Linked DNA regions of Xenopus tropicalis. The protein of the gene in region 5 interacts with the protein of the main gene of each other region in a biochemical or structural test. Links are inferred from orthologs where the notes say so. Each region holds a gene or a part of one and is shown on either strand. Other genes may lie near its edges.

Evidence for each region.
Region 1: the proteins of wwp2 (region 5) and cdc34 form a complex in vitro, tested with the Homo sapiens proteins (2 studies listed by BioGRID, with this or other methods). The link is inferred for Xenopus tropicalis from reciprocal best matches to the Homo sapiens genes WWP2 and CDC34.
Region 2: the proteins of wwp2 (region 5) and smad7 are reported together in a solved structure, tested with the Homo sapiens proteins (2 studies listed by BioGRID, with this or other methods). The link is inferred for Xenopus tropicalis from reciprocal best matches to the Homo sapiens genes WWP2 and SMAD7.
Region 3: the proteins of wwp2 (region 5) and wbp2 form a complex in vitro, tested with the Homo sapiens proteins (4 studies listed by BioGRID, with this or other methods). The link is inferred for Xenopus tropicalis from reciprocal best matches to the Homo sapiens genes WWP2 and WBP2.
Region 4: the proteins of wwp2 (region 5) and pten form a complex in vitro, tested with the Homo sapiens proteins (7 studies listed by BioGRID, with this or other methods). The link is inferred for Xenopus tropicalis from reciprocal best matches to the Homo sapiens genes WWP2 and PTEN.

Annotation. Positions count from the first base shown.
Region 1 is NC_030677.2:105,629,636-105,633,751, reverse strand, and holds the start of cdc34 (ubiquitin-conjugating enzyme E2 R1), read right to left. Parts: upstream 2,900-4,116; 5' UTR 2,743-2,899; coding exon 2,560-2,742; intron 167-2,559; coding exon 80-166; intron 1-79. UniProt on the Homo sapiens protein: E2 ubiquitin-conjugating enzyme that accepts ubiquitin from an E1 ubiquitin-activating protein, and catalyzes its covalent attachment to other proteins by an E3 ubiquitin-protein ligase complex. In vitro catalyzes 'Lys-48'-linked polyubiquitination.
Region 2 is NC_030677.2:205,593,994-205,598,144, reverse strand, and holds the start of smad7 (mothers against decapentaplegic homolog 7), read left to right. Parts: upstream 1-1,270; 5' UTR 1,271-2,333; coding exon 2,334-2,814; intron 2,815-4,151. UniProt on the Homo sapiens protein: Antagonist of signaling by TGF-beta (transforming growth factor) type 1 receptor superfamily members; has been shown to inhibit TGF-beta (Transforming growth factor) and activin signaling by associating with their receptors thus preventing SMAD2 access.
Region 3 is NC_030686.2:44,869,577-44,873,902, reverse strand, and holds the start of wbp2 (WW domain-binding protein 2), read left to right. Parts: upstream 1-1,494; 5' UTR 1,495-1,561; coding exon 1,562-1,620; intron 1,621-2,847; coding exon 2,848-2,956; intron 2,957-3,663; coding exon 3,664-3,799; intron 3,800-3,943; coding exon 3,944-4,036; intron 4,037-4,252; coding exon 4,253-4,326. UniProt on the Homo sapiens protein: Acts as a transcriptional coactivator of estrogen and progesterone receptors (ESR1 and PGR) upon hormone activation. In presence of estrogen, binds to ESR1-responsive promoters. Synergizes with YAP1 to enhance PGR activity.
Region 4 is NC_030683.2:12,943,743-12,947,348, forward strand, and holds part of pten (phosphatidylinositol 3,4,5-trisphosphate 3-phosphatase and dual-specificity protein phosphatase PTEN), read right to left. Parts: intron 1,543-3,606; coding exon 1,379-1,542; intron 1-1,378. UniProt on the Homo sapiens protein: Dual-specificity protein phosphatase, dephosphorylating tyrosine-, serine- and threonine-phosphorylated proteins.
Region 5 is NC_030680.2:60,922,898-60,927,283, reverse strand, and holds the start of wwp2 (NEDD4-like E3 ubiquitin-protein ligase WWP2), read left to right. Parts: upstream 1-1,507; 5' UTR 1,508-1,546; intron 1,547-4,386. UniProt on the Homo sapiens protein: E3 ubiquitin-protein ligase which accepts ubiquitin from an E2 ubiquitin-conjugating enzyme in the form of a thioester and then directly transfers the ubiquitin to targeted substrates.

The DNA.
Region 1 (4,116 bases), on a different chromosome or scaffold from region 5:
ACTCAGTGATGAGAAAATGCCCTATATGCAACTGTCTTTATCCTACACCAAGGGAAGAAGCCAACCTGTCTTTACTAACCTCATAGATGTTAGGATGCCACATCTTTGTCAAAAAACGAAACGCAGGAGGAGAGTAGGGGTAATCAACTGGAAATTTTAAGCGGGCCTAGGACAAAAAGAACATGTAATGGTTAACAAGCAAGTGAGTATGGTTGAGATCCATGCCTTTGTTATAACACACCGTAGCTCCGATTAGCACAAAATAATGGTTCTCAAGCAACATATCTAAGAGTAGATCAACCAAATTTCAGTCTATTAAAAAAAAAAGTGTAATTTATTAATTTTTTACTTGTTTGCTCTCTTTCTGTAGTAACAATAAAACAGTATCTTGTGCTTTATGATAACTAAGCTAACATAAATCCATGTTTCTGGCTAAAAGATCATCTTGGTTTTTATTTTTAAATGCTTCAGCAGGCCATAAACGGGCCAATAAAAGCTGCTAGGTCAGTGCCTCCAGGCCAAATTAACAGCTTATTGGCTCGTGTATAGGGCCCGTCTGACCAATAGCTGATCAATTTTCAATACGGCAAGTTTGAAAATCCTATTGAATGAGGGTGCATTGGCACTCTGAATGTGGCTATCATGCAAGAGGCCCCAATAAAAGATTTGAATTATGTCCAAAAGCTTTCAGAATAATAGATCTCATACTTATAGAACTGCATGATGGGTAAGCAAGCTCAGCTGTCATCAGATTAATGATAAGTAAATAAAAAATAAGGTCTGTTTTCAGTTCCAGGGAGGCTGGATAATGAGATGCACCAATTCCAGAGTTTTATGATTCAAACCTTTGTAAAAGATTTGGCCTAATACCGAACCAAACTCTAATTTGCATTTGAAAACTAACCTATAAAAGGAATAAAAATGTTCAACTTCTGGGTTTACATAAAGAAATAGTGATTTTAAGGATTCAGATTTGGTTCAACCAGGCACATGGATTCGTCTGAATCCGAATCCTGTTGAAAAAGGCAGAATCTTGGCCAAACGCCGAAACAAATCCTGGATTCAGTGTATCCCTAATAATATGTATATTATACATATATTGAAAGTGGTGGTTCACCTTTGAGTTAACTTTTAGTATGTTATAGAAAGGCCAATTCTAAGCAACTTTTCAATTAGTCATTATGTTTTTCATAGTTTTTGAATTATTTACTCTTTGCAGCTTTCAAAGGGGGGTCACTGACCCCCAAGCCAAAGAACTATTGTTCTGCGAAGCTATAGTTTAACTGTTATTGTACATTACTTATGTTTCTATTCAGGCCCTCTCGTATTTATATATCAGTCTTTTATTCAAATCACACCATGGTGGCTTAGGTAATTTGGATCCAAGCAACCAAATAGCTGCTGAAACTCCAAGCTGGAGACAACCAAAAACTGAAATAATTAAAAAAAACTACAAATAAAAAATGAAAACCAGTTGCAAATTGTTTCAGAATATTACGCTCTACATCATACTAAAAATTAAGTAAAAGGTGGACAACCCCTTTAAAGGGGTTGTGCACCTTTGACTTAACTTTTTAGTATGATTTTTTTTTGGCTCAGGGGTCAGTGACCCCATTTGAAAGCTGCAAAGAGTTAGGACAAGGAGGCAAATAAATTAAGAAACTATGAAAAACAAATAATGAAGAATATTCGAAAAGTTGATTAGAATAGGTCTTTATATAAGATACTAAAAGTTAACTTAAAGGTGAACCACCCCTGTAAAACACAATTACATTGTTCTAGCCATTTAACATCTCATTATAAACCCCTATTAAATTTCTTGATCTGTGCAAATGTCTAGGAATAAGTAGTCCCTTGAAACTAATATTATATATATATATATATATATATATATATATATATATATATATATATACACACACACTATAGAAGGCACATCTTAACAAAACTGCCCAAAACTAAGTATAGAGACCCCTTTAATCCTTAAAAGAATGAGGCTTCATACATGTAGCTAGTATGGCATACTAAAATGTAAAAGAGTGGAACGCCTATGTTTGATTAATCTTCTGAAAATCTTTATGAAATAGGCACAGGATGAATACATATAAACCCAGGGTATCTCCACAAACACAAAGTGCCAAATCAGAAGTTAGATGAAGAGTTTAGAGCGTTTTCCTGTTACACAAAGGCCTTTATTGCTTTCTAACACCGTGCATCCTGTGGCTGGGGCCTAGCAGCTGTTGTTGGACTACAACTCGCAGAAAACAGGATTAAAGATTTAGTAGTGCCACACTCTTTCAGTAAGTTTTAGTTTTGGGGTAGCTTTGAGGGCTGGTTGAGTTTCATGTGAAACATTAGTTTCGGGCAAGTTACGGCTATGGCTGTAGGAGTCACATAAACAAAGGAAAGCTTGTTGTGCAGAAAGGCCCAGCGATGTACGCAATACCCACCCACGCCTCTATTACTTACTGCCTCTTTAAATACCCCCCAGCGTGGCTTTCCCTCCCCAAGGCCCCTATGATCACGAACTCCACCATTTCACACACACCTAACCCTCACCTTGAAGTACCCCCCCTCATAGAGGGTGTTTGGGGGGCCAAAGATTGCCACCTCCCAGTTGTACAGATCCCCCTCATCTACCAGGGTGACCCGGAACCCCTCCACCGGCTCTTCCTGTAGCCCCTTGAGTTCCAGCATCAAGGCCTTCTGAGAGCTGGGCACCGGCGCCACCGGCCGGGCCATGGTAGTTCCGCTCCCCGCTTTCTAACCAGGAGCCCACAGCGTCCTCCGCGTAGGGCAGGATGGGATCAGTAGGCTTTTGGTGTTTTAGCAAGAAGGGGCTGCTAGACGACTAAAGGCTTTATTACGACATGTTACGGCACAACGGAGCCGCTTTGCGAATTAACTTGCTGGCTGGAAGAGTAACGGGTGCCGGAAACTGCAAGTGAAGCCACGGCGTTGTGGGAGGAGCAGCCTACAAATCCCACAAGCCCACGAACACTGTGACGCACTGGTGCGAGGGAAGTGTAATCTGAGCGGAGGAAGGAGGGGTCTTGCTGAGGCTGATGGGAACAAAGCTAGATGTTGGTTTCTAGTGGGGAAACGTGATTTACAGAGCTTTTATTTAGTAGTGCAGTAGAAAACTTCAACTTGACACAAAGTTTCTGAATGAACAGTGAATATATCCTTTAATCTCCTAGAATATAACCTTCTAATACAGCTCACCTTAAAGGGCACCTATCACCCTCAAATTGTTTCCCTCATCAGAGGTTAGGGAAACAATAGCTTTTTGTGAAAAAAAAAAAAGCTCCTACCATTGCTAGGCTGCCTGCAGCAGAAGAGTGCTCCAGGTGTGGGCAGCCATATTGCCTCATTTCTCACAATGTGCATAATGAGTGAGTGCCACAAGTTGCTTATTATGTGCATGCTTGTGATGGAGGGTGAATTGCATCCACCACGCCTAGATCAGGCGCATGCGCATCATCTGCAAGTGGAAAGGCGCATTTATTATGCCCACGCATGGCAAACAACATGGTTGCCTGTACTGGGAGCTTCATTCAGGTGCGGGCAGCCTAGAAATGGCAGTTGCTGTATTTTTTAAAAACCAAACTATCGTTTTCCCTCAACCAAAGTGCTGCGTCTATTAGCCTGCACCTCTGGTGGGAGAAGCAGTTAAAGGGTCATAGGTGCACTTTAAAGGACAGGGAAACTTAGATTCAGTGGGTGGCAATTTATTGGGTGCCCCCAACACTTTCCATCAGGCCGGTGCTACACTTTGTAAAATGCCACTTCACTACTACTAGTTAAAGACTAGTTGCTTCCTACTCCATGTACGGTGTTGTAAACAGTAGCATAAGTAGAAGTTACTAGGCCCTGAAAAATCATTTTGGCACACCTTGAAATTAGAAATAATATCTTTCATATACATATAATGAAACTACTTATTATTCAGCAGGCTCCCAACAGTCACAGGGTGTGCTTGCTTTAAAGTTACATTCCTTGTTAAAGGAGATCTAAACCCTTAAAAATTAATATGGCAAGAAGTTGGGAAGTTTTTATATACTGGACTTATTGCTCCAGCCTAAAGGTTTAGCATATTTATTATAGTACTGATCC
Region 2 (4,151 bases), on a different chromosome or scaffold from region 5:
AGGTAGGAGGCAGACAGAGGGACAGGTAGGAGGCAGACAGTAATTAGAGACAAGCTTGCGGACGTTGCAACATGTACACTTTGTACCCAAACGTCACGAGCCAAAAGTGAGATTTAAGTAGCGGCTCGAGGGGGACTTGTCCAGCCCTAACAACCTGCACTGAAACCTCTCAGCCCGACTTCCCCTCCAACATCACAAGCCGGCCATTTAACCCCATTCATGCACAGTCAAGCTGAGCTGATAACTAAGGCCGATACCCTCTCCCCGGAGAGCTCACTCCATGCATCTACTACCTCTATGTTAGAAACAACATGAAACCCGAGTATGTATAATGTATTCTCCTTATACCTGCCAGGCCCTGCAAGCAGTTTATTCATTAGTAATCAATCTGCTCCCCACAGCTTGAACTACAGCTCCCAGCAACCCCTAACAGCCTTAGCCTACATCCTCTCCCACAGCTCAGCAGCAGCAATGCCATAAAGGTGTATCAGCCTGCCACTGGGAGTAATTATTATACCCAGGTACTTACATCTAAAGAGGTAGTTCACCTTTGAGTTAACTTTTAGTATGAGATAGAGAGTAATATTCTGAGATAATTTGCAGTTTGTCATTATTTTTTGTAGTTCTGTAATTATTTCACTTTTTGTTCAGCAGCTCTCCAGATTGGAATTTCAGCAGCTATCTGGTTGCTAGGGTCCAAATTACCTTAGCAACCAGCAGGATTGGACTGGGCCGACGGGACACCAGGAAAAAACCTGGTGGGCCGCAGGGAGGCAGCCGGCGGGAGTCCCTACTGGGGGTGTGGGGGCCCCTGGTGACCAGGCATTGGTTTCAATGAGAGACTGATATTTCTAAACAGAAAGAAAAGTAATTAAAAGTAACAATACCAATAAAATTGTAGCCTCACAGAGCCATAGTTTTTGTTGCGGGGGTCGGTGACCCCTGTTTGAAAGCTGGAAAGAGGCAGGAGAAGGGGAATAATTTAAAAATGATAAAAATAAATAATGAAGACCAATTGAAAAGTTGCTTAGAATTGGCCATACTGAAAAGCTAACCTCCCCTTTAATGTTACACTGATGGCTTTATGCCCCACTAAATGCATAGTGCACACTCTCACTCAGACTCACACTCTCACTCAGACTCACACTCACACTCAGACTCACACTCTCACTCACACTCTCACTCAGACTCACACATATGACTGACTGTGACATAAAAGAGGAGCTTTCAGTAACCCGAAGCCTTTGCGCAACACAATCCTTGGGGTTTTTTTTTTTTGTTAAAGCGACAGGCTGTCTAGACACCCACGTGATGGGCCGCGCCATTGCGCACAGGAGACTGACAGAGCCGAGAGAGCCGGGGAGAGAGAGAGACAGGCACAGACAGGGGAGGGGGAAGTGAGAGACAGTCAGGGAGAGAGGAGGGGCACTGACAGCAATGAGCAGGGTGAAGTCCCTTGGTAACTGGGTGCTGTGAGTGTGAGCTTTGTGGACACAGCACCCCCCCAGTAGAGTGTAGGTGCCCCAGTGAACCCCCATAGCCGGCCCTCGTTAGCGGAGGGATACCAGTCCTCTCCCCGCTGCCCCTCGCCGTGTCTCCGCTGTGCGGCCGGTCCCTCCTCCTCTCCCCCCCCCCTCTCCCCATCGCACATTTCCATAACACAGACGGGGGCGGATCAGCCCTTTGAGAAGGAGGAAAAGACAAGTCCCACTTTATTTTTTTCCCCTCTCTCCTACTGAGCGGCCGGATAAAGGATTTTTCTTGTGGATTAAACAAGCGAGAGGCGCAACCCAGGGCTTCTACTTCTTTACTGGAACCGCATCGCGTACGGATTATCTATAAGGTTCTGCCGCCCTAGTGCCCCTACTCTCTGCCCATTTGCCCCCCATACACAAGGGATATTATCGGCAGACCCGCTCGTTTGTGGATGTACGAGTTGTGGGGGGAGCCCGCTTTCCTACCGGGAGGATTGTGTATAAATGCCCTTTAGATCCCAGGCCAAGCCGGGCAGCGCTCTGTGCTCCATTCAATGCCCCGCTGCTCCCGGCTCGGCTGCCCAGCATTAGCCCGCTGTATGTGTAGCCGGGGCGGCTGCTTGCCGTTTGCAGTATTCCTGTCGCTGCGACTCGGATCCCCCCGCCGCACTTTGCAGGATCTCTTCCCCTAAAAGACTGGCGCATGTTCCAGATCGCTTTGGCTTGTCGGACCCCCAGCTCCCCCCTACCCTCCCGGGCTGCTGCTGCTGGTCTCTGCCCGGCCTCGGATCCAGGATTCTTCATGATTTGCGGGCGTCATGCACGTTGTTTAGCCGGGAAGCCTTGCTCTCGTCCCGCATGTTCAGGACCAAACGATCGGTGCTCGTCCGGCGACTCTGGAGGAGCCGAGCTCCCGGGGAGAGCGGGGAAGGGGAAGGCGGGGAGAGGGTTCATGGAGCCGGGGGTTGCTGCCTGGGCAAATCGGCGAATAAGGTGCCCGGGAAGGCGCTGGGGGGCTCGGAGGCTGCAGAACTGAAAGCCCTCGCCCACTCCGTGCTGAAGAAGCTGAAGGAGAAGCAGCTGGAGGGGCTGCTGCAGGCGGTGGAGTGTAAAGGGGGAGCCCGCAGCCCCTGCCTGTTGCTGCCGGCGGCCAAGCTGGACTCCAGGCTGGGGCAGCAGCCCTTCTCCCTGCCGCTGCTGCTCTGCAAGGTCTTCAGGTGGCCGGACCTCAGGCACTCGTCCGAGGTCAAACGACTTAGTTGCTGCGATTCCTATGGCAAGAACAACCCGGAGCTGGTCTGCTGCAACCCGCACCATCTCAGCAGGCTGTGCGAACTAGGTAGGTGCCCCCTGTACCCAGACTGGCACTCACACACAGGGCAGGGTGGGTTTGCTCTGACTGCCATCCAGACTGGCACATACACATGGCACGGTGGGTTTGCTCTGACTGCCATCCTGTCCTGCAGGGACTTTGACACCCAGACTGGCACACACACACATGGCAGGGTGGGTTTGCTCTGACTGCCACCCTGTCCTGCAGGGACTTTGACACCCAGACTGGCACACACACATGGCAGGGTGGATTTGCTCTGACTGCCACCCTGTCCTGCAGGGACATTGGCACCCACTGGGCACAGCTGGTGTGTGTAGTTGGCATCAGAGGGTCAGTCTGGCATTAGTATTTCAATGCAGCCACAGGCTTGGGGGTTCAATATTGTGATGGGTAATGGGGATACTGATTTACTGCCATTTGGCACAGTTATAATGGGGTATATGACTGGGCATATTTATCTCAGGGCACAACTATTCTTTTTCCATATTTATCCTTGGGTATAGCGGGAATGGCAAAGGGGGCATGGCTCTGGGTTTCATGGGTACAGCACATTGGATACATTGGTCGCTGTGGCTAATAGCAGGGCAGAGTAACTTGCCCCTTGGTATAACTGACAGTGTGGCTTGGGGATAGTGGGCACGGTGGGTGCTGTGGGGGTACAGTCTGCTGTGTAAGCTGGGAGGTGTCATTGTCACTATGTCATTCCGTTGTACTGTGTGAAAGGAATGGGGGGGGTCACACGGATTGTGGGGGTGCCTTGTGTCACTTTGCCAGGAAACCTTCATATACAAGATACACCCCATTATCATCCAGTCTCCAGTCCTATAGCAGGTCTGCTGGGCTAATATCAGTGGCAATAAAGGGGGGGGGGGGCTTATGTATTTCTGGGGGGGGGGTCTCGGCTCATGTCATTATTAGGTATTATTCCCTATGACAGTAGTGACAGTGCCAGGGGGCTGAGTAGTTACTACTGACATCTCATTCATCCCCCCATCAATGGATCGGGGCTGTCCCTCCCTTTATTGCACTTATACCCTAGTAATATATTGTTTTTCCCTTCATTTACCTTTTAAGCTTATTTCTGTTCTGCTTAATGTGTTTATTAATCATGCCCTCCCCCCTGTTTCCTATTTACCAGCCTACTTTTATTATTACACCCCTATTAAAGTTGGGGTGTAAAGCGTAAACCCCCTCTTTTTGCTTCAATGCCCCTTTCTCCGGCGGCAGTTTCAGCGCACTTTTATATACGGCTGTGCGTATAATGCGCGAATAGCGAAAAAGTCTTTTCCCCAACGTACAGTGAAGTACAGTAAGGAGATAAAATTGCAGTTGCATGGCTACTT
Region 3 (4,326 bases), on a different chromosome or scaffold from region 5:
AATACCGGGGTGTCAGGGTACTCACCCGTGCGGCCCGTTCTCGCACGCCTCCTTGCGCGCGCGTCCCGTTGTCCGCGGGACATTGCGCACGCGCGTCCAGGTGTGTGTGCGTCAAAGCGCACGTACATGTCAAAGCGTGCACGTCCGCGACGCGCTAACGGCGCCGGTTCTGCGCATGCGTGGGGGGTATTTAAAGCTATCAAACGCCTCCTCCTGTGCTATGTTGTCTGCGGCCTTGCCTGGGAAACTAAGCCTGCCTGATTTACCTTACGACTTTCTGTTGCCGATCCTTCGCTTGCCTGACTCTGATTTTCAATACTACAGTAATTATTCTCTAATTTATTAGGAAATGGGGTTAACACCTAATCATGCATGGAAAAAAAAAAATACCGTCAAATACAGCGACACCGATATCATTTTGAAAAATACTGCAATATAAATTTTTGGCCATACCGCCCAGCTCTAATTTCTACCTCCTTCTGCCGATTCAGCGCTGAAGGCAGATTTTGCTCAGGCGCCTTCTACGGTGCCCAAACAAAATCTTTTAACCGGTCCGATTGGTGAGTCGACAGCCTTCTGTGATATCGGCCGCCTCGCCGAGTTGCCATACACGCACCGAATATCGTATGAAACGAGGTTACGTATATTATCGGTGCGTGTATGGCGGCTTTACCCTGGCAATACCGGACCCACCGTATGTTAGAGAAACGCAACGTAATACTTACCTGTAAGATAACTTTACCTCAACTAATATATACATCGACCAGTTAGAGACCTTCTTGTATTTCCGCCGCTATACTAAGGGGCTGATTTACTAATCCACGAATCCGAATGGGAAAAATTTGGATTGTAAAACGAACATTTTGCGACTTTTTCATATTTTTTGTGACTTTTTCGTAGCCGTTACGACTTGCGCGAATTGTCGCGACTTTCGTATTGAGCGCTCGAAAAAGTCACAAAATACCGATCATTACGAAAAAAAAACACTTTTTGGACGTTCGTGGGTTAGTAAATGTGCCCCTAAGTGTAAGAAGGGGCGAAGCAACTACGCGGGGAGTATGAAATAGCTTAATATCAGCCCTGTGATAACCTCAATTGGGATTGTATGAAATCCTGTTAGGAGAGGTTTGTAGTGAAGTAGTATGTTTAACTAACTAATTGGCCGATATAACTGTACAAAATAAGATTGGATATTCCCCATAAAGTAGAATTTAACACTTACTGCCCTGAATAGCCGCCCAAACACAGCGCTACATTGGTAACAACCGTAATACACGGAGCAGCTCTGCGCCTCAGCGCTAAGTGATCGTTACAATGAAGTATTAGCAACGCAGAAACACAACTACAACATTAGCGCCTCAAGCGGCCATGGTTTATTTTCAGTGATACACGCCCCCTAGCGATCAAGAACACATGCCAGTCATAGATCCCTCAGCCAATGAGCGGCCGGCCCTACAGCAGTGGAACCGCCCAGACTGCGTCTCAAAGTGCGAGAGACTCTTCGAGCACGGTGATTGGCTGTTGCTAGGCTGCGGAGGTGTGACCTTTTTATCTCCGCAATATGGCCCTTAACAGGAACCACCTGGATGGCGGAGGTGCAGTAATTAACAACAGCGAGAGGTAGGACAGCGGCTAAGTAGAGAGACAGTCGCGGGAAGCAGTCAGCGAAACGTTAGACGGACCCCCTGCATGAATATGGGTTCCGGGTATCTGTCATCATATATGGGGCGGAGCTTGGACATGACGAGCAGGGATTTGTGCCAATTATGGAGCTGATACAGATACACCCGCCTCCCTCTCTTTGCCTGTCTGCTGTACTATTTGTATAATATTGTGTGTGTTTTCCTATTCCCAGGCACAATATACTTAATTCTATCAGCATATCTATATATAATATGTCCCACATGTATCCCTTGTGAGATTTACTTACTAAACCCCCTTTATTATTATTTATATTATTAATTTAATATAATATTCTTATGAAGCACTTACATAATCACATGATACAGTGGAGGGGTGTATACAGTGCTGCAATATGTAGGAGATATTTAACGCTCAGACCCGGGGAAGGCAGAGTGACCCTGGAGATTATAGGAGGCCCCATAGGGCACTGACTGATAAGCAGTTTTAATAGCTTTATTATAAAAAATGTCTTATTCCTAAAGTTTATTGGGGCGCTAAAATGATTTTGCTATAGGGCTCAGTTATGCCACTGAAACCGCGTATCATTCAGTGTTCTGTTGGATCTCTTACGGTGTCGGACTGGCCCACAAGGATAGCAGGAAAACTCCCGGTGGGCCCAGATGTCAGTGGGCCCTCCTGCTCCTCAGCATTTGGCCTGCTTCATGGTCATTCCCTGTTTCTGAATGGGAACAAAGAAGAGAAATAGATGGAAGAATAGATGCTAGCATGTAAATAAAAGAGACTAGGAGAATAAAGAGGTTGGGTGAGGAAAGGAGGAAAAATAGTTTGGAAAAGCGGCCTGGGGTCTAAGGTTTTCTGGTGGGCCTCTGGGTTCCCAGTCTGACACTGATCTCTTATACCTTGGCAGTTGCAGGGTCTTCTTCCTCTACATTTACACCCTTGGGCACTCCTCTTATTCCTCAAACAGATAGTCAGTTTGGCCCAATATCATGAAGATGCACAATAACCACCCCCCACACACACCACACCCCCAAGGGGTCCCCATCATCCCAAACCCCCCAGTCTGGTGGAGGGACGTCAGTTCAGGAACACCAGCAGGGATCGAGGGGCCCGCTTGGTTTTTTCCCGGTGTCCAGCTGGCAGTTCGTCTTTGACTACTAAACTGCACTGTTCTCATTGAACTTGCCCTTTATTATCTTCCAGTATCCTTACTTCTTATGAACATGTGGAGGTCACATTTAGTGACATGGACAGCACCCCAGAGGCTTTCAGAGGGACCAAGAAAGGCAGAGTCATTCTGACACCATATCGAGTAAGTCTGCCTCCCTTTTCCTTCACTCATTAGGTGCAGTCTGACTCATTGGCACCATGGAATAAACTGCTAATGTGCAACTAAACTTTCCATTAGGTCAGAGAAGACACTTGGGGGTTATGTAATTAAAAAAACTAAATTTGCCCAGGAACAGTAACCCATAGCAACCAGTCAGCAGGTAGAATATACTTATTGGTTGCTGTGGGTTATTGCTATCAGGCAAACTTAAGGTTTAATCGAGTGGATCATTTCCACCTAAGGTGGGCAAAATTTGGCTAAATCGATTGTTTCGCCACCTGCCCATTTTTATCCAGATATTGGTTGGGTAGGCCTGCTGGGGGGCCCCATGGGCAGATAAGCGCCCGAAACGGTCTGAAGGACTCAAATCGGCAACTTAGATTTGCCAGTGTATGCCAAACTTTAGTGTCATTTATTACATATAGGGCTAGTGCCCTTCTACACCTCCTTAATAAAAGTCACAGAGGGGATCCATGAACATATAAAGGCGGCACAAAATCACTTTAATACAGGCCCTAAAGCTTTGAGGTGTCTAATATTCTCTCATTTTATTCCAAGGGGGTACATTATTCTTTCAGTTATTATTATTTCAGTGAGTCATGTGACACAGATTCTAACCTATTTATAAGCATATCTTTTACGGCTCTTGTGTATTATGCATGTGGGTGAGGCTAATTTTGCATCCACAGGTGATATTTGTGTCCAAAGGAAGGGACCCCATGCAGTCGTTCATGATGCCCTTCTATCTGATGAAGGACTGTGAAATTAAGCAGCCCGTATTTGGAGCCAATTTTATCAAGGGCAACGTGAGAGCTGAGCCTGGAGGTGAGCAGTGTTACTATCTGACGGATACCTATGCGTTCTAGGTCCCACTTCAGCTCCTGGGACACCTGCCTTTATTTTTTGCTAATATAATTTGCTGTAGGTTAAATATATCTTTTAATCTGGAATTCATTTCTTTGCCTGCAGGTGGTTGGGAAGGATCTGCTACATTTAAACTAAGCTTTCCTTCAGGGGGCGCTATAGAGTTCGGCCAGCACATGCTACACGTGGCCTCTCAAGGTGAGCAGGGGGTATCTGAAGTCACAATCTCTTGACATTTAGTCTGGACTCCCAGGACTACCTAGGAGAGCAAATACACATTTGCCACAAGCCCCACACCTCGGGGAAAAGATTTAAAGGGAAATCCCAATGGGTCAGAAATTCTGCCTCAGCCTTTGCAATGCACTTTTTCCTTTACCCATTTTTATAAAATATGGTTTCTACTCGCCCTTGTAGCCTCAAGTGGAGGAGCTCCAAATGTTGCCTACCCATATATGCCCAATGGGGGCTACGTCTTCCCACCTCCTGCA
Region 4 (3,606 bases), on a different chromosome or scaffold from region 5:
TTGAATAGATAGGTTGGTAAGACTGTCTATATGTGCACTGGGGTTCATTTGGAAGGGTTGAACTTGTTGGACTTTGGTCTTTTTTCAACCCAACTTAACTATATTATATATGTGTGTGTTTTTCTGAACAGGAGATTTTCAGAACTCCCACATGTTGCATTATTTGCCTTTTTTGACAAGTTTACAAAAGCAAAACGTCTTATTCCAATCCAAACCTTATTTCCGTGTAAGATAAACAAGGGCCTACTTGCCTGTGTAAATAAATTCCATCAGTTATACAAAAGCATAAATAGTGCGGTCAACATTTAGGGCGCTGTAGCACACAGCAGATTGACTAACAGTGGTTCCCAAGGAAACCAATGGCAAGAACAGAGGACTACTTATTAGAAAAGATAAAAAATGCCCTGTGACTGGGGGGTATAAAGACATTGGCTAGTGGCTGTGCTTAAATGCAGGAAGAGAAACAGCCCCCGCTGCAGCCTGAGAGTCGGCCCCGTGTGTGACTTGCTATCACAAGTAGCTGTGATTAAAGTACATGCCCCACAGCCCCAATGTTTAGTCTACAGTGCCACAAGTGTAAATGATCAACTGATAATCAATGCTGTCAGATAAAGGCTACTTTGTTGCAAAGGAAGAACAGTTTGCTTTATTTTTTATGATTCCTTTCTTCCTCAAACGATAAAAAAAAAACCTACAATATTCCACAGTGCCTTCACGCATGAGCCACCAATGGGAAGGCAAGGAGAGATGAAGCTGGCGTTCGTTCCCACAGGTCAGGGTTCAGCCTTAAACTAGTGTGTGGCTCTGTTTCACAGGGTGTACTTGCAAGTAGCTTGTGTGTAAATATTTAATTCAAGTGACAGAGCAGAGGTATGGCTGATAAGAGCCGGTCATTTATAGTTAATTACAGCTACACGTGATGCAAATAACGTCCCAGATGCAAACGTTCACATCGCCATACAGATTAAACAGGAATATTAGTCGGAATAAATGGACCAGACATTCTCTTTATGAGTGTGTGTGCACCACGTTTGTGCCAGGGCACCGTACCCAAAGCTGCCAGAGTCTTCAGGGGCAAGAAATCCAACGCCGTAAGGGTGAAGACACACTGAGCTACTAGTAGCAGCTACTTTTTCATGGCTACTAAACTCCAGAAAATCCCCTGCCATAGACAATACCGAGAACTGACCCTGCTAAAACACACGTAGAGACAATTATCAGTAAATAATCAGCATTGTCTATTTTAGTAGCCACGACAAGTAGCTGCTACTAGTAGCTCCGTGTCTCTTCACCCTAAATGGACACTTGTGCAGTTGTTGTGTAACCGTGTGTGAACATATTTATAACATTGCTTAGAAAAAAAATAAGCCACACTAACCTTTTTCATCACTTTGTTCTGTTTGTGGAAAAATTCTACCTTGATATCCCCGCAAACGGGCAAAGGCTGGGGGAAATCAAAATACATCAACTTCTCGATGCGCTTGGGACCTGCTGTTGAGGTGAAGATCTTGACTTTCAGCTGGTAAACGACAAACTGGGGATCTAGGAGAATACAGAGAGGTTGTTAGTTGGTCTGAAGGAAAGCAGGTTATTGAGAAAGAAAAGCCTGTTGTTCTAGGGTGAAGACACACAGATACTAGTAGCAGCTACAGATACAGACAATGCTGATCATTTACTGATAATTGTCTCTACGTGTGTTTTAGCAGAGGCAATTCTCAGTATTGTCTATGGCAGGGGATTTTCTGGCATTTAGTAGCCGTGACAAGTAGCTGCTACTAGTAACTCTGTGTGTCTTCCTTAATGTCACATCAGAGATCTGATGTCTGCACCATTGTATCATTTAAACCAGTGTTTTTCAACCTTTTTTGGGGAAAGGCACACTTGTTTCATGAAAAAAATCACGAGGCACACCACCATTAGAAAATGTTAAAAAATTTAACTCTGTGCCCAGCAGCAGTGCCCCCCTAGTACACTGGTGCCCAGCAGCAGTGCCCCCCTAGTACATTGGTGCCAAGAGCAGTGCCCCCCTGTTACATTGGTGCCCAGCAGCAGTGCCCCCCTAGTACATTGGTGCCAAGAGCAGTGCCCCTCTAGTACATTGGTGCCCAGCAGCAGTGCCCCCCTAGTACATTGGTGCCAAGAGCCAGCCCCCCTAGTACATTGGTGCCCAGCAGCAGTGCCCCCATAAGTCAGTGTGCCCCGTGGCCCCCCTTAATACATTGGTGCCCAGCAGCATTTTACTCTTCGGCGGCTTCAGCAGCATCTTCCCCTCACGCGCGCCGCCTCTGCACTTCTGCCTACACGCGACCGCACACAGGCCCTTTTATAACGTTGCGCCCCGTGCGTACTGACGTCACCCATACACACGGGGCGCAACCAATGACAGGGCTCGGATTTTTTTTAAAGTAAAAATTGCGGCCCTGCCTACGGCACACCAGGCAACATCTCGGAACAGCGGTTGAAAAACGCTGATTTAAAAGATGTGGTTTATTTGCTTATAATCATCCCTTGGAGTAGGGCCCCAGCCTCTATTCTTAGAGGTCTTGCAAGCATTTTCCCATGTTATAGTTTATAAAGAAAATGACATATACATATTTTGGCAATGCCCTATTAACTAGGACTATTGGGGAGGGGGGGGTTGTAGTTACTGGAATGAAACTCTGCTATACAAGCCCGGCTTCTTTGGCCCATGGTGATCAATGTTTTGCATTTCTAGCCTGTTCTTTGTTAGGCTTTAGTTGTCCATTATTAAAGGAATTTGTGTACTAGCCTTAGGCCACAACAGCCCATTAGCAATATTGATGCCCCCAGTAGCTTCCCATCTTCTTTTCTGCCGATGCCCTGGGCTGCCGCCATTTACCTCACTAACAATGTATAGTATACACACAATGTAAATTCACCATACAATGCTGAATTCACATTTGCAATATAGGGCAGTAAACAAACTAGTCCATTCTCTGGAATCCCATTATCTAGAAAGTTCTAAATTACAGAAAGTCTATGGGAGATGGCCTATTATAAGCAAATCATTCTAATTACTGAAAATTATTTCCTTTTTCTCTGTAATAAAACAGTACCTGTACTTGATCCCAAGATATAATTACCCCTTATTGGGGGCAGAACAGCCCTATTGGGTTTATTTCATGGTTAAATGATTCCCTTTTCTCTGTAATAATAAAACAGTACCTGTACTTGATCCCAACTAAGATATAATTACCCCTTATTGGGGGCAGAACAGCCCTATTGGGTTTATTTCATGGTTAAATGATTCCCTTTTCTCTGTAATAATAAAACAGTACCTGTACTTGATCCCAACTAAGATATAATTACCCCTTATTGGGGCAGAACAGCCCTATTGGGTTTATTTAATGGTTAAATGATTCCCTTTTCTCTGTAATAATAAAACAGTACCTGTACGTGATCCCAACTAAGATATAATTACCCCTTATTGGGGGCAGAACAGCCCTATTGGGTTTATTTAATGGTTAAATGATTCCCTTTTCTCTGTAATAATAAAACAGTATCTGTACTTGATCCCAACTAAGATATAATTACCCCTTATTGGGGCAGAACAGCCCTGCTGGGTTTATTTAATGGTTAAATGAT
Region 5 (4,386 bases):
ATCACCACCTTTCTATTCATTATCTTCTCTGCCTTTTCCCCTTCTGCTATTCTGATTTGAATTCTTCATATTTAAACTATATATATATATATATATATATATATATATATATATAGACAGAGAGCCGCACACAAGGACTTAACGATAAAGTGAAAAAATTTTATTCAAAAAAATCCAACATTTAGAGTACTAACTGTACTCTTCCTCAGGGACAAACCAAAAGGCCAAACCAGCCAGCACCCAGGGCATTTGAACTTTTATAGGGTGTGCTCCACTCTTCCTTGTGTATGTGTATATATATATAAAGAGTAGCTGTAGAGAGAGTCCGCACTCACAGGTCTTACAGAAAATATAGAGGTTTTATTCAAATCAACATCTAACGTTTCGGCTGCATCCACAGCCTTTCTCAAAGACTTTGAGAAAGGCTGTGGATGCAGCCGAAACGTTAGATGTTGATTTGAATAAAACCTCTATATTTTCTGTAAGACCTGTGAGTGCGGACTCTCTCTACAGCTACTCCATCTATTATTTTGGAACTGCACCCAGGCTCCTTTGGACCTACTTTTACGAGAGTGCCTGTCTTCTTGCTACATATAAAATTATATATATATATATATAGTAACTGTTGTTCCCCCTACTTTTTTTCTAAACAATACATAATATATAAAGCAAGAGATGTGTGGAATAAATGAAAGAAAAAAGGGGAGAGGAAAGTAGTACAGCTTCCAGCAAAATGACAATACATTGAACATCTTTGGGAACAAACTCTAACATAGGTCCAAGGTAATCTCCACTAGAGTGCTGTGCAATCATCTTTTATTTAATGCCCCACAGCTTCCTCTGCTGCCCTGGGCCACTGCATGCATAGTATAGTAATGCCAGAAAAATTAATATATCTATGTTTCAACCGGGGGGGGGAACAACGGTATCCATTAAAAAATCAACAATGAACGGGCAGTTGCAGATCCGAGCTTAGTTATTATCTTCTGTCCACTTATTTATAGGGAATTGTTGGTGGGGCTGCCGCCTGGCCGTCCCAGCTGCTAAAAATAAGACTTGCTGCTAATGTCACCAATATGGAAACATATTAAAAGAATAGAGAACATAGCATTGTATCCCAGAAGCAGCAACACCACAATTGGTTACAGACCATGCAAAAAATCTTTTAACGAGGTAGAAAAAAATTCACACAAATTCTTTAATTGTATCGCTTTGCATTTCCAGTACAGTAGAATATAAGACAAACAATGCGGAACGGTGCTTAGAGTACGCACAATAGCAAAACTGACACTTCCCGTAACTCACTAATTGAATATAAACGTCCCTCACGCCTTTTAGCGTGCCGAGAAATAAGAACGATAAAGAGAGATTGTTGCTAAGAACCCACGGGATATCGTCCCCATAGTAAAATGGCAGCTCACTACAGAACGCCAACACCTCCTGCATCCGGTGCTACCTAAACTTTCTTCCGGGTCACGTGACAAGGCCAATGGTCACATGACCGAAAGTGCTGAAGGCGGAAGTGAAGAAGAGAGTGGTGTAGCAGGTAAATACAAATAAAAGAATTTGGCGGAACAGCATAGGGTCGGCGACAGTAAAACAGATTTGATTTGGAAGAGTGGGGAAGAATAAAGCAGGCAGAGAGATATTATGCTGTTTGTTATTGATTGGATTTACATTGTGAGGGGATGGGGAATACACATTTAAAGTACAGAGAACGTTTGCTTTGTTTGGGGGAGGTTCCTAGTAATGGTGTTCGTGTAATAATGAGAATATGACAGCAGACTGAAACACTTTGCTAGCGGTGTATTGGCGATAGCTCGAGGGCACTTTGTATTTCAGGAGAGAACTGGGATTGTGGTGGGAGGGCAAGAAGCCATAACAGTGCGCAGTGTTGTACCGAAAACATAAATATGTGACAAGGTTCCTAGTTATGTTAGTGGTCTTGTTACACTAGCTTATAAAACTCTGACACAATCATTATGTTGTTTGCCATGTACACTCTCTGTTAAGGAAAACGATTTAACATAAGGATATATTAAGAAACCCTTCCAGGAAGCACTGACATGCAGACCCAGATCTCTGGCTGACTCCTAGGTATTCCCTTCTGGATAAATCTGTGCCACCTCAAAATAAACCTCACAAAAACGGATCCTGTAGTCTAGCCATCCAAATCTGGCCTGTCTCATCTCTTTAGCATTACCTTTGATGGCATGCTTATTAATATTGTTAATTGAGCATGCTGCCTGGAACTTATCTTTAACCATTTTAATCCTCAGATTGTTTTAATGCTACTGCCAAAATCTTCTGCTTTCGTCTTAAAAATACTGTCATGTTCCCTGATTTTCTTTCTCAAGCAACTGCTAAAACACGCATCGTGCCATCCCAGCGCTGCGTACACTACTGTACAGCTCTGCGTACATAAGTAGCGCTTTATACATAAAAATATACATACATACATCCCAGACTCACACCTTTTTCTCCATTGTTTTAAACTCAGCTGCTAGATTCCACCTTGCCCTCAGTTAAAATTTTTTATCTTGGCAGCCTAGTAGAGCTATACTGACATGTTCCTATAAAAAATAATTAGAATGTGTAAGTATTATTAAAGAGTTTTTGCACCAAATACCTTCTAGCTAAAATTCCCCCAAAGACATCCCTAGCTCAGCTATACTTACCTGAGCCCACAATCTGACATAGCTAAAGGATGCTCTGTAGTTGTGTCATTAACACTGGGCTTAAGGCAATGTAATCCTTCCATAGGCTGAAGAACTAGCTTTATTTCTTATTAACCTATGAAAGGATTGTGCTGACCCCAGTCCAGCATGACCCAAGAAAATAGCACCTCTTCTTTTATTCACTTTCCCTTTCTTGACAGCTAGGTACTGCTGGGCTTTGGCAGTCCTTTGGCTGGACATATTTTTGTGCTGCAATGTTTTAGTAATACTGATATGTTCCTATGGATTTTCATAGGAACATGTCAGTATCGCTTTAAACAAGGAACTGTTAAACCAAAAAATGAAAATGTTTTAAAGTAATTCAAATAAAATGTGACATAGGGGCAGCCATTCAAGCTGGAAAAAAGGAGAAAAGACATAAATCATGTAGCAGATAACAGATAAAACATAATTGTATTCTACAGGACCTATTTGTTATTTACTATGTAACCTGTGTCTTTTTTCGAGCTTGAATGGCTGCCCCCATGGCTACACAGCAGGGTATTTATATAAATATAGTAGAGTTTCTAAAGCAAACAGATTAGTGTTTCCAGTGCAGGGCAACTTTATATTATATTATAATTACTTTCATCATTTGGTGTTACTGTTCCTTTAATTAAACAATAGTTTACACATCTTCTGCTGATCATTTAACCTGTGTTACATTTCCCCATTCTTTTCTCTGTCTGGCTCATCTGTTTCATTCAGAGCCACTGCCTTTACATAATATCCACATCCACTTCCATATCTCATTTTATAACCTTTCTCTGCTTCTGATCCTTACTTCTGTATTTTCATCCATGAAATGCTCCGTAAGAGGCAGTCTCTCAACCTCTTCAAAAAGAAACTCTGATTCTACCATTTTGAGTTCTAGAACAATTAAGGGCCAATTCCCAAACCTTTGTGTCTGTATGTTATCTACCCATTGTAAACTATGGGCTCCTTCCTCTTATGCATCATAGAACTCAATATTGAAATGTTTGTCCTCCCTGTTCATACTTTTGCTGTGTTGAAGGGATGCACAGAATCCATTATTTTTGGATTTGCCTGGTACAGGTATCAGACCCCTTATCTGGAAACCCATTATCCAGAAAGTTCCAAATTAGGAAAAGGCCATCTCCCATAGACCCAATTTTAATCAAATAATTCACATTTTTAAAAATGATTTCCTTTTTCTCAGTAGTAATAAAACAGAACCTTGTACTTGATCCCAACTAAGACATAATTAATCCTTATTGGATACAAAATAATCCTATTGGGTTTAATTACTGTTTAAATAATTTTATTAGCAGACTTAAGGTAGGAGATCTGAATTACAGACCCCTTATCCAGAAAACCCCACGTCCCGAGCATTCTGGATAATGGGTCCCATACCTGTACTTTATCCAACACAAAACTTGACTTAAAGGAACAGTAACACCAAAAAATGAAAGTGTATAAAAGTAACTAAAATATAATGTGCTGCTGCCCTGCACTGGTAAAAGTTGTGTGTTTACTTCAGAAAGTCTACTATAATTTATATAAATAAGCTGCTATCTAGCCATGGGGGCAGCCATTCAAAGGAGAAAAGGCACAGGCACATAGCAGATAACAGATAAAACACTATTGTATTTTACAGAGCTTATCTGTTATCTGCTATGTAACCTGTGCCTTTTCTCCTTTTTTCCAG